Linked DNA regions of Rattus norvegicus. The protein of the gene in region 2 interacts with the protein of the main gene of each other region in a biochemical or structural test. Links are inferred from orthologs where the notes say so. Each region holds a gene or a part of one and is shown on either strand. Other genes may lie near its edges.

Region 1 (7,634 bases), on a different chromosome or scaffold from region 2:
CACCTGCCTGTGTCTCCCAAGTACTGGGATTAAAGGTATGCACTGCCACATCCTGCTTAAAATTTTGATTGTTCAAAGTGACATCTGATAATTAGGTCAGTTCTGGGCCACACCATCCCTGTACTGTTGTAGTTTTCTCTTTCCTGGCCCTAGTCTTCTTTCTCCTAACCTGGTAGGCAGACTTGCAGGCCTGGCTGAATGGAGGGAATGTTCTGTCCGGCCTGTGTTCTACCCCAAGCCTCATCTCCCAGTCTCCTATACTCAGTAAGCAAATAGGGATTTGGGGGAAGGGGATGAGCTGTAGGTTTTGATTTTTGTTTGTTTGGTTTGGTTTTGGTTTGAGTGTTTCTTTTTGGGGGAGGTGTTTAAAGGTGCTTAGAGAAGTCCAGTTTCTTACCAGGTACAAGATTTTCCTGGCCAGGGTTGGCTAAGGTTGATAAGGTTGATCTGGTTAACTCTGCCCGACAGGATGGATGAGATATGCTCCCCATTTAACCCAGCAGCAAGAATAAGTGTCACACTTTGGGGTTACAGATTGACTAAGACTTCAAAGGCCAGTCAGCCCTCCCCAGTCTCACCTGCTGGGCTTAGAGCTAAATTTAGGAGGAAGCACTCAGCTCCAGACACAAGCTGCTATAGGCAGGACACATTTAACACGGAAAATATAAAAACACTTCTGTTCTTCACACTTAAGACACCTCACACCTTAAATCAGAGGAGCATGTGGCCTCTGCTGTCCTTCTGCAAACTCTGAAGATGACATCAGCATTTGCCTGGCTGAATCAGCTGCGAGCGCTACAGATGATACCATAGTCGCACAGGCTTAAACAATATACATTAACCTCTCAGAGCTGTGGTGGCTACTGTACACAATCAAGGTAAGGTAAGGTCCCGCGTCTTGGCTGTCTGGCCATCTTCTCGCTGTGCCCTCCTGTGTGAAGGGAGGCTGTGGCTCTCATGTGTCCTCTTATTAGGACCTTGCTCTCATTACGAGGGATCCACTCAGGGCCCAGAACCTTCCAAGGCCTTCCCTCCCCAAACTATCACAGCATCTATTAGTATTTCCCCACAGGAGTTTGCAAAGGGGCACAGAGAGTCAAGGGTACCATCCAAAGCCTTCTTGCTTACTTGTCCTCGACTAAATAGCCCTGCCCCAGCACCTCATGTAATACCATGGGGGTTTTTTTGGTTTTGTTTTTTTTTGGGGGGGGCGAGGTCTTGGTTTGTCACTCAGTCTTACATTCACCTTGCAGCCCAAACTGCCATAGAACTCAGAATCCTCCTAGTATCATCATGGTCTCTTTCATGCTGCAGGGACTGTGACAGATGAGTGGGTACTCAAATGGCCATATATGGAAGTCCAAAGACATTCCGGCAGCCTTGTAGACATGGGAACATTATTATCAAGTCAAGCTGTGTTCTAATAGAGAGGTACAAACCAGCTGTGATTTCCTGAATATTTTATAAACTAGATAAATCTTGTCCTTTGTAGATATCAGTTCAAAATGACTCATAAGCTCTGTTCCTGCTGTGCTTGTTTTCTCTTAAGCTCCCACCTATTAACGTATAATAAACTTCCATCTAAAAACAAATAGAGCCATCCGTGCTGTTTGAGAGGAAAATAGTATGAACTACAAATATAATTTCAAATTTTCCAGTGGACATATTTAAAAAGTAAAAAAATGCAAGTGAAATTAACATCAGTAGTATATCTCATTTTATCTAATGTATTTTATCACTCCATATATGTAATATTACCTAATCTATCAAAAATGTTATTTTAATAATTCTCTCTCTTTTTTTTGTATGAAGTCTTTGGTAGCTGGTGTGTCTATCAGGTCTCAGTTTGCTCAAGCCACATCTCAGATGCTCCATAGCCACAAAGAACTGGTGGCTCCCACAGTGGGTGGTGTTGATGTTGGCCCGTAGGGCTCTGTGGCCTTGGCTTCTGGTCTCTATCTGAACTTGGTGAGAGAGGTTGAAACCTAAGCCCTTCCAACTAACAACACAGACAGTGTGATCTCCACATCCTTTTCATAGGGTGTCTTGGGGAGGATGTAGCACTTATTGACATTGGGAAAGGACAGAAGAGAGCAGCAAGTGCCACTGATTTCATCATCTGCTGACTCAGGAAACAGAGGCAGCCCAGCATACTTAAACTTACTCTCAGCACCGAGGAGCATGTAGATTGGGTGAGCCTGGGCGAAGAGAGAGAGAGACCTTTTCCATTCTTATCAGAAGGTGTAGCCATGCATTATTTAGAGATACTGAGAAGGGCATCAGTGGGCTATCTCACTGTACAAACTTACAGGGGGGGGGGCTCTGCCATCACTACCTGATACAATGATGTGGGACCACTGTGACGTTCACAGTCCACTGTAGGGTGAAATGCACAGCCCAAGACTGAGCTAAGCTCAGTAATGACTTTAAGCTGTCATTTCTCTGATGGATAGGGTCCACACAATTGACTGGATAACAATGTCTGATAGATAATAAATTTTGAATCCTCCTTTAAATCTTAATATTCCCTATTTTGGCTACTTATTTTTTTAAAGTTAAATTACAGTTAGAACTATTCATTTGTGCAATGCTAACCTTTCCACCTTACTCAAATGTGGAAAGAACAGTCCTGAATTATATCACTCTGAGTCTCCACGTCTTTTATACCTGCAAAACAAGTAGGCGGAACCGGATGAATTGTAAGAGTTCTTCCGGTTCTAAATTCCAGTCTTTCCTAAAGTTGCATATGGGTTTCAGTTTTACCATTGACAGTTACAAATAGAGATGCCGGGTAGGTATTATTAAAACGTTTAAACATGTAGAGAGCTCATTAGATTCAAACACAGCCCAAGAGTTTCCATAGCATCAACTTTTCAAAGAACTCCACACATCCTCTACTGCGTACCTCTTTCCCAGGGTCCTCGGGATCTGTGGCGACCACTGAGGCTGCTACTTGACCCTCAAGCATTTTTGCAGTTGTACTTACTCCCATATTTTCATTATAGGTGGAAAAGAGGTCAAAGGTGAAGAGAAAGGTGAAAATGAGAACTCGAAGTTTGAAGTACGGTTGCTAAGAGACCCATCTGATGCCTCAGTAGGCCGCTGGGCCTCCAGTAGGGAGGAAACAGGGGCTCCAGTAGAAGACTCTCCAGGTCAGGCGAAGGTAGACAATGAGGAGTGGACAGGAGGAGGAGGACACAGTCGAGAGGCAGTAGATGACCAGGAGAGCCTCCATCCCTCCAACCAACAAGTGTCCAAAGAAGCAAAGATACGCCATTCGGAGGAGAGGGGCGGAAAAGAGGAGGAGGAGGAAGAAGGCAAGATTTATCCAAAGGGAGAGCATAGGGGAGATGCTGGTGAGGAGAAGAAACACACTGAAGAATCTGGAGAGAAACACAACGCCTTCTCCAACAAAAGAAGCGAAGCTTCAGCTAAGAAAAAAGAGGAGTCAGTGGCCAGAGCAGAGGCACACTTCGTGGAGCTGGAGAAGACACACAGCAGGGAGCAGAGCAGCCAGGAGAGTGGAGAGGAGACGAGGAGGCAGGAGAAACCACAGGAGCTTCCCGACCAGGACCAGAGCGAGGAAGAATCCGAGGAAGGCGAGGAAGGCGAGGAAGGCGCAACCTCAGAAGTAACCAAACGCAGGCCCAGGCACCACCACTGGAGAAGCCAGTCCAACAAGCCCTCTTACGAAGGGCGTCGTCCTCTGTCTGAGGAAAGGAAACATGCTGCTGGGGAGTCCAAGGATGCAAATGTGGCCACAGCCAATTTAGGGGAAAAAAGGGGCCACCACCTAGCTCACTACCGGGCTTCAGAGGAAGAACCTGACTATGGGGAAGAATTGAGAAGCTATCCGGGCTTCCAGGCTCCCCAGGGACTGCAGTACCAGGGCAGAGGAAGTGAAGAGGTCAGAGCCCCAAGCCCTCGGAGTGAGGAGAGCCAGGAAAAGGAGTACAAGAGAAACCACCCCGACTCTGAACTGGAAAGCACAGCAAACAGACACAGTGAAGAAACTGAGGAAGAGAGGAGCTACGAGGGGGCAAAGGGACGACAACACAGAGGCAGGGGGCGGGAGCCAGGAGCTTATCCTGCTCTTGACAGCAGACAAGAAAAAAGGCTCCTGGATGAAGGGCATGACCCTGTTCATGAAAGCCCAGTAGATACGGCAAAAAGGTATCCACAAAGCAAATGGCAGGAACAGGAGAAAAACTACCTCAACTATGACGAGGAAGGGGACCAAGGAAGATGGTGGCAGCAGGAAGAGCAGCTAGAACCGGAAGAAAGCAGGGAGGAAGTGAGCTTTCCAGACAGACAATACGCGCCCTACCCCACCACTGAAAAGAGGAAGAGGCTAGGGGCGCTGTTCAACCCGTACTTTGACCCTCTCCAGTGGAAGAATAGCGACTTTGAGAAAAAAGGCAACCCAGATGACAGTTTCCTTGATGATGACGGCGAAGACGGAAATGGGGTGACAATGACTGAGAAGAATTTCTTCCCAGAGTACAACTATGACTGGTGGGAGAAAAGGCCCTTCTCGGAGGATGTGAATTGGGGATATGAGAAGAGAAGCTTTGCCAGGGCCCCTCACTTGGACTTGAAAAGGCAATACGACGATGGAGTGGCTGAACTGGACCAGCTCCTTCACTACAGGAAGAAGGCAGCCGAATTTCCCGACTTCTACGATTCAGAGGAGCAGATGGGGCCTCACCAGGAGGCAGAAGATGAAAAGGACAGGGCTGACCAGAGAGTTCTGACCGAGGAAGAGGTATGGTTTGAGGCTTTTGCTTAGAATTACACTGTTGATCAAGGTTGATGTTATTAGCATCAACATGTCTGATAATGGGGAGAGATGGATGGGAAATTTCACTGTGAGAATGTGAGTGCCCCAGTCACAGAACAGGGTTGATTTCCAGTCATCATCCAGCCAGGGTGCTGCCCTCCTCTTTTCTTTTATAGTATTTAGAGAACTTGGAAAACTACTGTATCTGGGATCTATCTCCAGAGTTTCTGTCAGATGAAGGCCGGTGCTGCCTGGGTGTGTAGTATACCTCAGTGCTTGAGCACCTTGCGGCTACCAGGCGATTCCAGTGCGCATGCTCACCTCCCAAACAGCGCCTTGACCTAATTTGATCATGTCAGGTGATGCCACTCAAGCTTGAGAGTACATCAGAGTCCCACGGATTTCTGACCCCCAGAGTTTCTCAGTCCCAGTTTTATATGGGACCTAGGGACTCTTATTCCTAGGCAATTGCTTGGGTTACCCAATCCACTCGTTCTGAGAGCCCACTTTGAAGACCCCTGATGTTGGCTGACTCGGGCAGCCTCTACTGTACCTAAGTTTCCCCTTTCTCCTTAGAGCTCCCTGAGATGGAGTAGTATGATTTGACATCAGTGCTCCACTTTTCTGTTTCCCAGAAAAAGGAACTGGAGAACTTGGCGGCCATGGATCTGGAACTGCAGAAAATAGCGGAAAAGTTCAGCCAGCGGGGCTGACAGTCGGAGAGACGAGCCATTCGCTGAAAGACAGCATTGATTCACCCAAAGGCAGAAAGCAGAATTTACTATTTATTAAATGTTTGATGCAGTTGGAAATATCACTAATCTTTGCCAGAATGCTAATGCTATGCGACTAGCGTGACTTGTAGCATATTCTTCCTGCAAAATAGATGTTCCACATGTCTGTGACAATGACCGTGTTACTGTCTTTGAAACACAAACAATAAAAGATTTACCTGAAACAAAGCCCTTCTTGGTTCTTAGCTTTCTTTGAGTTAGTTAGGAAGAGTACAGTTTTGAAATCCATTCTCCTAAGTATATTCTCAAAGATAGACTTAGAATGTGTTGGTCTTTAATAGAAAAAAGGCAAGGTTTCTGAAGTAAAATACTGCAGGATATACAGAAAGAGATTGAGTGTTGTTGTAAAAATATAAAAATAAAAGAAGTATTGTTGTCTTTTACCCCGCTAGGTCCGCACCGCGGTGCCCCAAGATATCTGCTAGATATCTTGGCAGAATCACATCCCAACTCCGCAGCGGCCCATTGTTTCCTGCCACTGCACACTTTCCTACACTCAAACCATCACATAAAAGAACACACAACACAATAATCTTAGACCCAATTGATAAGATATAATTGCCCACTTAAACATACAAAGCCTGGTACCATCCATCCCTTAGGAACATTAATAACAACCTGTAAATACACAGAGCAGAATCTTAACGTCACCTGCCATATTGTCCTGCCACAGGCTTCTCCCTCTCTCCCTCCTGTCTCTACCTTTCTGTCCTAGTCTCCTCCTCTTCCTTCAAACTTCTCTCCTGCCCATCCTTCCTTCTCATCCAGTGACAGGCCTCCTTCTATCTTGTGCCTGCCTCACCTGTGACTTCATCCTACAATTGAGAATAAAATATGGCTAATAGAGACCATATAGGCTTGAAGAACCCATTTTAAAAGAAAATGCAGGGTTGGGGATTTAGCTCAGTGGTAGAGCGCTTGCCTAGGAAGCGCAAGGCCCTGGGTTCGGTCCCCAGCTCCGAAAAAAAGAACCAAAAAAAAAAAAAAAAAAAAGAAAATGCATCACTTACATTTTTAATTTATTCATTGTGTGTTGAGGGGTTCAGAGGACAAAGTTGGTTTTCTGAGGTTAAAAAATCAGGTCGACTGGCTTCGTAGCCAGTGTCTTACCCATGGAGCTATTTCATCAGCCCAGAACATTTCTTTTAAAATTCTGCAAAGAAGGGGAAAAAGGAAATGACTCACTATAGAGGGCTTGTCTCGCACATACAAAGCTCTGGGTTCCATATCTAGGCAAAAAAAGACTAAAGGACATTGAAGGGGACAGTACATAACAGAAATGCAGCCAAATCTCCTTACGAGCTGTCTGCAATAGCCTGTGTCTATGGGCAGCTACTTGTGAGGCTGAGGCCAGAGAATAGCCTCAGAGATCAAGGCCAGCCAACGCCATCTCAAGAGAAATAGAACTAATTAGATTCTTACACACTGGAGAACTCTGGGGGTAGACTGTCAAGGGACAGGCTGAAAGGGAATCCCTGATGATGAAGAGTTCCCTGGATTGGGAAGATGAACATCTGGGACAGCATCCCTGGTACCTCCCTCGGCGCATACTTGACCTCTACCTTCTCTGCAGACAGAGATCTGCCTCTGCTGAGTGTGAGCAGCTGTGCAGCTTGTGGCGAGTTCTAGTTCTCGGGTTCCATAAAAATAAAGGTATCCTTCTCACAAGGTTATTTCTAACAAGTTTGTGTGAAACAGTACTGTGCCACTTGGAAATCGATGATGTAGGTAATGTCACCTGCTGCTATTACCACCTTGCCAGCTTCTTGTTCCAAGACAATCAGACAAACCCTTTCTTCCTCAATTACCAATCATCTCGTTTCTGACCAGTAGCAGCTTCCAATGGGTTATTTTTACTGCTTTCTGTTCAGGTAAAAATCTGTTTTCTGGAAGGTGGTAAAAATGTCTGAGGGTCATAGGTGATCTTTACTAACACAGGAAGGCCAGAGGATCTCCTGCTTTGCTAAGTTGAGAAATGATGTACTAATTTATCCAGATTCTTTCCAAATTAACACTGAGCGAACCGAAATTTTATTGTATAGGGACCAAGTCAGCTGGTG
Region 2 (7,951 bases):
CAATTGCCCCCAGCCCACTGCTCCCAACCTCCCTCTCCAGCTTGAAGTGTCTGTTTCGTTGCTCCATGTCTCTCCATGTGCCTTCCAAGCCTACACTGTCTCTCCCTTCCTTTCTTCTACATTGTCCTCACAGCCCCTCTGTCCCTGTGCTCCTCCCCATCTGTTTTTCTCCTGCCTTCTTACTCAGTCTCTGCTTTGTTCACTCTCTCATAATGGTGTCAGGAGTGACCTGTGAATAGCGGTAGATACCGTGGCAGATAAATGAAAGAAGAGCCGTGAGTTAGATGTGGGTTCAGACTGGTGGAACATTTCTGTCTCCCAACTTTCTGCACTCATGTGAGGCTTCAAACAACATAGTTCTTGGGCCTCCAGCTGCATGATATTTTGACGTCCGTTTTTGTAGGCACGGATATTGGTCAGAGGATGCGGAAAGCACTAGAGGTGTCTACAACTGTAAGCTGTCCGTCTCCACCAGGTTTTGACTCAAGAAGGAGCTAGCTAATATGATCTGTCCCAGCATGCTTCGCTCAGACACTCAACACCTGTGTTGGTTGTCCTTCCCAAACTCTGTAGAAACACATGTAGCTCTCTTTGGTCAGAAACCTTGTAGCAATGGCTTGTTTTAGGGTCTTCCTTCCCCCTCTGGCATCATGAACTCATAGATATTCACTCTTCACAGAAATGGCTCAGTGAAAGCCTTTTCAGAGCAAATGGGAAACTCCTCCTCTTGTTACTCATTAATCATTTAGGTTTGCTCACTCTTACAGGCATGAAGAGTTAGCAAGAGGAAATGGGTGACATTTTAAAACATTATTAAAATTGTCAACGACTGAAGAAACCCTCTCGAGGCCTTCTGCAGGGTACAGAATGAAAACTCTTGTAATCTACCACGGTGGTCTGTGGCACTGCTCTGCACCTAAGGGAAGCACTGAGCTGTGTGAGGGCAAAGATGGAGTGACTCCAGTTACCTCATCCTAAAGCACTTACCTTAGGGTGTAAGTCAAAATACAAATGATAATTTAAAAACTGCCCCTATGAGAGAATCCTCTATCTGTGGTGTGATTTACAAAAGGAAACTGAAAGGGGAACCAAGCATGCTGGGTGAGAGGTAGCATAAAGTATTTTATAGTGTGTGTGTGTGTGTGTGTGTGTGTGTGTGTGTGTGTGTGTGTGTCGCCTAGACACATTATATTGCCAAGCCATTTCTGCTCTGAGTGGGAACTTCTACCACTGGGGATCTTAATGTATCTGGTCTGTTTCTTGGCTTTAGAAATGTGTTTGGGAGCAGATGAAAACTATGACTCTCAGTTTCTGGCTTTTAATGTGCAATTTGGAGCCTTGTTTTTAAACGGTGTCTGTTTGGAGGCTCTTCTCCCTAGCTCTTTTCTCAAGTTGATCTCTCCAACTGGGTTGTACGACTTACGAAGCTTCTGAGAATCGTCTGAACTTTGTCTGGCTCTCCTGTTTTCTTTCCTCTCTGTGTGGGCCAGACTTCTCAACTTCTTTGGATGATGTGTCCTCTGGTTCAGAGAAGTGCGGGTTATAGGAGCAAGGCTACTGATGTGGGACCCTCTTAGCCACATCTTCCCCTGCCTGAAAGAGTCCGCCCCAACCCTATCCTACCCCACCCCACACACCACCCACCAAGGGCAGATGCCTCATTCCTAAGCTTTCAAAGGAGAAATTGGAAGCACCCTTTAGCTCTTCTTTGCCCTGTGGCTTGTTCAATGCTTACACGGTTTCAGGGAAGCTTCTAGAACCTGCCTATACACTGGGACACGGTGATATTCTGAGTGTGTTCATCAGAAGGGAGGGAGGCATGAGACCCTGCTGACCTCCCAAGTCCTGTCCCTGCTGGAGAGTGTGGATGCTCAAACTCTGTCTTACGTGAAGTCCCCCCAGTAGCCCTATGAGGTTGCCAGGGTGCTGAGGTGTGAAGGTCTATTCTTGGCAGGTGAGAAAACAAGAGAAAATGTCACACTGCCAATACCTAATGGAAGCAGCCCACACCCTGACAGTCACACCAGACATAGTATCAGAGGTGTCATTTATATAATTATTAGTTCTTGATATTGCTAGTTTTGGTTATGTCCTCATTCTCAGTTTTAGGGTCTTAAATGCTTATGGGCCTACACCTTATGTAAAGGATGGACTATGGGAACATTGGCAGGACTGTGCCTTTTTTTTTCATATGCTAGCACCTTCCTGTCCTGGGTCTAAGCAGGCCTGGGCCTTTCTTCAGGAAAGCAGGAAAGCAGCAAGGCATCATGGGATCATGTCGGAGGTCCTTCAGGGCCATAGGAATCCAAGCATGTGCTTCCTCTCAGATCAGAATCTATTCAGTTTCAGGAGATGACTCTTAATTTGGTTAGAAGTCTATGTGGCCAGACAATTCATGCCACACAATTCAAGTTATTTTAGCCCCACTTCTGACTGTAAATGAATTCTTCTTAATATAAATGTTAGCAGTGAATTAATCCAGCAGCTGCTTTTCCTTACCTTATACCAATAATCACACAGGAAAACCAATATTTATTGAAAACTGTGCCTCAGTAGATGAGCAGTAAATGCTCTATCTTTACTTTCTATGCTAGTGTGGCTCCCTCCCAGCCCCACCCCATGATACTTGGATATTATTATTGATCTGGCTCTTTGGGCCCCTTTTCCATGGCTCCAATTCCTCCAGTCACTCACTGCTCTGAGTCTCCCTCTCTCCCTCCTTCCCTCCCCCTCTCTCCCTTCTGCCTCTCTCTCTCCCCACCTTCCTCCCTCCCCACCTTCCTCCCTCCTCCCTCCCTCCTTCTCTACCTCCCTCTCTCCCTCTCTCCCTCTCTCCCCCCCCTCTCTCCCCCTCTCCCTCTCTCCTTCCTCTGGCTGGTGGACATCCTGTCCTGCCCTGTTCTCTCTTCTGCCCAGCCATTGGGTGATCAGCATTTATTGACAAGGCAGAGACTAATTGGTAAGAATTGTTTACATAAACTTGAAACAGGAGATTCTTGGTATAAGCATTATAATACTGTGTCCAGATTAAAACAAGATATGAGGGCAGAGAAATCAGCATTGGAATGACAATGGGTGACCTTTACACCGTGCACAAAAACACTATGCCTTCATTTGACCTTTACTCACTATGAGCCTATAACACCCCCTCCCCCAAGTTGTGACAACCCAAAATATCTCTAGATATGGTCAAATGTCCCCTCAGAGAGAGGCAATGTTTACAGGATTCATTTGATGTCACAACCAGTAACAACTCCTTCTAGACTCCTTTTCTTTGGGGCCATTATCTGGCTGTCACTTGGAGCAACCATAGGTATCAGTCCTGAGCAAGGGATGGCCTTGCACCGTGAGCAGCCGTGCGCCCACCCTACCCCACCTGAAGTGTTAATCCTCCCAACGGGAGCCTCAATTTTGCTGTTTGGGCGGCATCAGGGTCCCATACAGGGCCTGGCAGAGACAGTGCAAGAGACAGCGGTTAAGTGTGGAGTGAACGACAAATGGGCACAGCCAGTGAAGCTCAGTGACAGCTTTTAGTTTGTTTTCATAGAGACAAGATCTGGGCCCAGTGTCAAGGTGGGATGGGAGGGGTCATTGTCCTTTCAGACATGTGGACTATGGAGAAATGTGCAGAGAAGGGGGGAAGCCAATGACAGTGGGGAACACCTACAAGGGCTTGCAAGAGAGGACGAGTCTGAAAGCCTTCTAACTCGATGTCTTTCTCCACCAGGACGAGCGTGTGTGTCTGCGGCACCATGAGCAGGTGTCCGTGCCTTAACCCATCTGCACAGTGGCAGTTGTGGTGACAACAGCAACACTTTCCTTTGGAGATCTGCTGCCTGGAGGGTTGATGGCTGCCGTGTCACAGCGACCACCCAGTATGTACTGGTGTGTGGGGACAGAAGGATCAGTTGTGTGTCCAGGGCCTGCCATGGAGACCCATAATGGTAAGTGGTACGTCCACAGGGACTGTGCTGTGCTTGGTCTATAAGGAGCTTAGGCTCCCTAAGAACAGGTATTTTCAACCAAAGAAAATAAAATTAGGATTATTTGGTGCTTTTTCTATATCTTGGGATTCTCACTTAAATTCCTAAAACTGAGAGGTCATGTACAAAATTTATTATGCTTTCAGAGATTTTAACATCATATAAGTTAAGGGATTTTTTTTTAAAAAACCGAGGATTCCTTTTTGTTTTTACACTATAAAAATGCTTGCTTACCAGAGAAAAACTGAGAAGAGAAAAAGAGAAGTTATAAAAAAGAGGTTCACCTAGTATCTCCCTGCGCCAACAGCATCACAGGCGGTGATGTGCCTGCTCCTTTAGTCTGTTTCTCTGTGGTTAAGGACTTGAGTTTCACACTACAGCAGTGGTTCTCAACCATCCTCAAGTTTCAACCCTTTAATACAGTTCCTCATGCTGTGATGACCCCCCGACCATGAAATTACTTTTGTTGCTGCTTCGTAACTGTAATTTTGCTACTGTTATGAATTGTGATGTGAAAATCTGTTTCCCGATAGCCTTAGGTGACCCCTGTATAGAATAAAACATGCTTCAAGATGGCCAAATTCTTGATACTGGCATGAATGGTTTTGAAGAAAAAGGCTCACACTTTAACTGAACACATAGTTTAAACTCCAGGGTTCTTTGGAAATGGTATCTTACGCCTTGCATTCATGGGTGTCCTGCGTTTTTGCACAGCCCCTACCTAGCTTGACTTGTATGTGTTTAGGATGGTTTCACAGCTCATAGATTTGCAAGCACAGAGCAAACTGCGGCATCACCATGAGTCTCATGAGGATGTCAGAGGGGGGCTCTGAGAAGGTGGAGGAGCCATCTTAGAGAGACTCGTGCATTTCAGATGATTGGCAGGAGGAGCAGGCAGCCAGCCCTTACCTCTGCTAGGCCAGAGCTGCTAGAATCTAGAACGAGACAAATTCCTTTGCCAAACATGACACGTTCTTTTCTATGCCCAGACCAGCTAGAGTGGAAAAACCTGCTCTACCAGTTAAGGTGAGGCACCCGGAGAAAGTACATCAGCTAGGAAACTTCCAGATAATTCAGCCTTTCCTACACAGCTGAAGGTATGGGGAGGTGCTGGAAGAGACCCATCTTTGTGTGAGGGTCCTGCCCTTGTCCCTGAAAGATGTGAAACAGCTACCTACCTCTTAAAGCACCGTTAACTGCCAGCCCAGCATGAACCAAAGAAGATGGAACATCCCAGAGGGGCTTCAAATCCCAGGTTGTTACATGAGTGTTTGAGATCTCTTCCTCCTCCCCCTCCTCCTCCTCTTCCTCCCCCTCCTCCTCCTCTTCCTCCCCCTCCTCCTCCTCTTCCTCCCCTCCTCCTCCTCTTCCTCCCCCTCCTCCTCCTCTTCCTCCCCTCCTCCTCCTCTTCCTCCCCCTCCTCCTCCTCTTCCTCCCCTCCTCCTCTTCCTCCCCCTCCTCCTCCTCTTCCTCCCCCTCCTCCTCTTCCTCCCCTCCTCCTCTTCTTCCTCCCCTCCTCCTCTTCTTCTTCCTCCCCCTCCTCCTCTTCTTCCCCCTCCTCCTCTTCTTCCTCCCCCTCCTCCTCCTCTTCCTCCCTCTCCTCCTCCTCTTCTTCTTCCTCCCCCTCCTCTTCTTCTTCCCCCTCCTCCTCCTCTTCCTTCCCCTCCTCCTCCTTTTCCTCCCCCTCCTCCTCCTCTTCCTCCCCCTCCTCCTCTTCTTCCCCCTCCTCCTCTTCTTCCTTCCCCTCCTCCTCCTCTTCCTCCCTCTCCTCCTCCTCTTCTTCTTCCTCCCCCTCCTCCTCTTCTTCCTCCCTCCCCTCCTCCTCTTCCTCCCTCTCCTCCTCCTCCTCTTCTTCCTCCCCCCTCCTCCTCTTCCTCCCTCTCCTCCTCCTCTTCTTCTTCTTCCTCCTCCTCCTCCTCTTCCTCCCTCTCCACCTCCTCTTCTTCCTCCCCCTCCTCCTCTTCTTCCTCCCCCTCCTCCTCTTCCTCTTCCCCACCTCTCCCTTCTTCTTCTTCTTCTTCTCTTCCTCCTCCTCCTTTGGCTTTTAAAAATACACATTAATTATCTGTCATGGTACTATAACCACATCGTTTGCCCAAGTGGGGACTCATCATGCCTTCCAGGAAATAGATTGTAATAGGAAATGCCTCTAACCTGTTAGCCTGTATGCTTCGATCTGTGTGCAGTTGCACTTGCTGGGATGTGTGGGGTGCATGTACTAGACAGGTGAGTGGGGCCACCCTCTCCAACCAGAGTACAGGGGCACCCTGAACCTCTACCGGAAGCAGTCGGGGGTCAGGTGGGTGGTGTCTTACTAAGTGAGCTGGTAGGTAGTCTGCTGGGTCACGGTCAATTCATGCAGGTGGCTAGAGCTACACTTCATTCCTACAAAGCAGAGCTGGCTATGTGACCCTGGGCTAAGTGAGACTTGTAACATTTACCTTAATCTGAGATCGGGGCCTCACTTCGGGCAATAGGGAACTGACTAGCAAGCCAATGATTTGAGGTTTTCCTAGGAAGTGGATGCTCTGGATTCTATCCTGCTGTTAACTAGTTCTGCCCAGTAGGGCAACTCAAATCCCTTCAGTCCTTCCTTTGGGAACTAAATGCCCCCGCTGCTAAAAGCCAAAACCTGGCTCTCCCTGCTGATTCCTTCTTAGGCCAAGTCTTCCAGGTGCAGTCCTCATAACACATTCTGCTCCCACAGTGCTTAACCTCCTTCTCACCTCAGGCTGTCTGTGGACCAATCCTTAGCCTGTGGCTTCCTGGGTGCAAGGAAAGAACAGCTCCCACCCCTGCCTGTGTGTGGGCTAAGGAGGGTTCCTACAGGCCCTTTCCCCTTTCTGAGTGGCCAGAATCAGAGCTGGTGGCTTACTCAAAGCCTCAGACCTCCCCTCTTCCCTAATCTGCACTTGATCCCCACTGTCTCACTGCCCCACCCCCACCTCCCCACTCTCCTCCCATTACCTGTGTGGCTGGGGAGAACAGGCTTCATGCGTGCCTGGGCCCAAGCCGTTTGTCACGAATTCAGCAGCCAGCAGAGGTGTCCAGTCTAGCCATCCTTGGCCCTGTGAGCACAGAGATTCCTGCGCAGAATGACAGGAAGTTCCATGGCCCTGCTTGGGTTCCCGATCCATGTGAGTCAGACTTTGCCACAACTAGAAGCCGTTTTTCTAAAAAATGAAACCCTTCGATCCTCCAGCAATGGACCCCTCGTCTTGTAACATATAAACCTAAACTTGAAGGAGTGGCTGTGGTACCATTTTGTGAGAACCATGCTTAGCATTCTGACTCCCCCGACCCCCAGTGGGCTTTTGGTTTCTGATCCAGTTCTCTCCGGGAACACGAAGAAGCAGCAGAGAGCATCAGCTATCAGTTGGCAGCAGAGTTTCAGGTCAAATAATTGACTTTCCACAAGGCTGTATCGCTCAGTGGGCTGTTCCTCAGCGTATGTGAGACATTTCCCATTCGCAGTAAGCTCTTCAGGACATGACCCCCTTGTAAGCTGGAGTCCTTCGGCCTCTCTCTCCATCCATCGTTCACCAACCAGAGCACCCTCTCCTGCAATCTGTCCAGATTCTATTTGACTGTCATGCTAGCTGCTGAATGACATTTGTTGACGTTATACAAAGGGAGCATACTTCTCAAGCCATATGCTGTCCCTGAGCTCTGATGTTGTGGAAAGAACCACACAGTAGTTTACTTAGACGCTGCATTTCAGAAATATGAATGGTTTTGGATTTCAGTTCGCTTTTCCAGTTTCTACTAAAGTTGGACCTTCTGGGCCCTCATCCACCATTCAGGATCCAAGGGTGCATTGCCAAGTGTGTCTTAAAATCATTTAGCTGGCCCTTTCAGGAGAGCCAAAAGGAAACTAGTTGACTTCTGAGACACTGAACATTTGAAAGACTCGGAGGTATTTAAAGGCCCCCAGAGCTGTGGTCTTGTTGTTGTAAATACAGGATTGT

Evidence for each region.
Region 1: the proteins of Lrrk1 (region 2) and Chgb form a complex in vitro, tested with the Homo sapiens proteins (2 studies listed by BioGRID and IntAct, with this or other methods). The link is inferred for Rattus norvegicus from reciprocal best matches to the Homo sapiens genes LRRK1 and CHGB.

The regions. Positions count from the first base shown.
Region 1 is NC_086021.1:140,504,316-140,511,949, forward strand, and holds the end of Chgb (secretogranin-1 precursor), read left to right. Parts: intron 1-3,005; coding exon 3,006-4,765; intron 4,766-5,415; coding exon 5,416-5,493; 3' UTR 5,494-5,742; downstream 5,743-7,634. UniProt on the Homo sapiens protein: Secretogranin-1 is a neuroendocrine secretory granule protein, which may be the precursor for other biologically active peptides.
Region 2 is NC_086019.1:129,379,027-129,386,977, reverse strand, and holds the start of Lrrk1 (leucine-rich repeat serine/threonine-protein kinase 1), read left to right. Parts: upstream 1-3,847; coding exon 3,848-3,944; intron 3,945-7,951.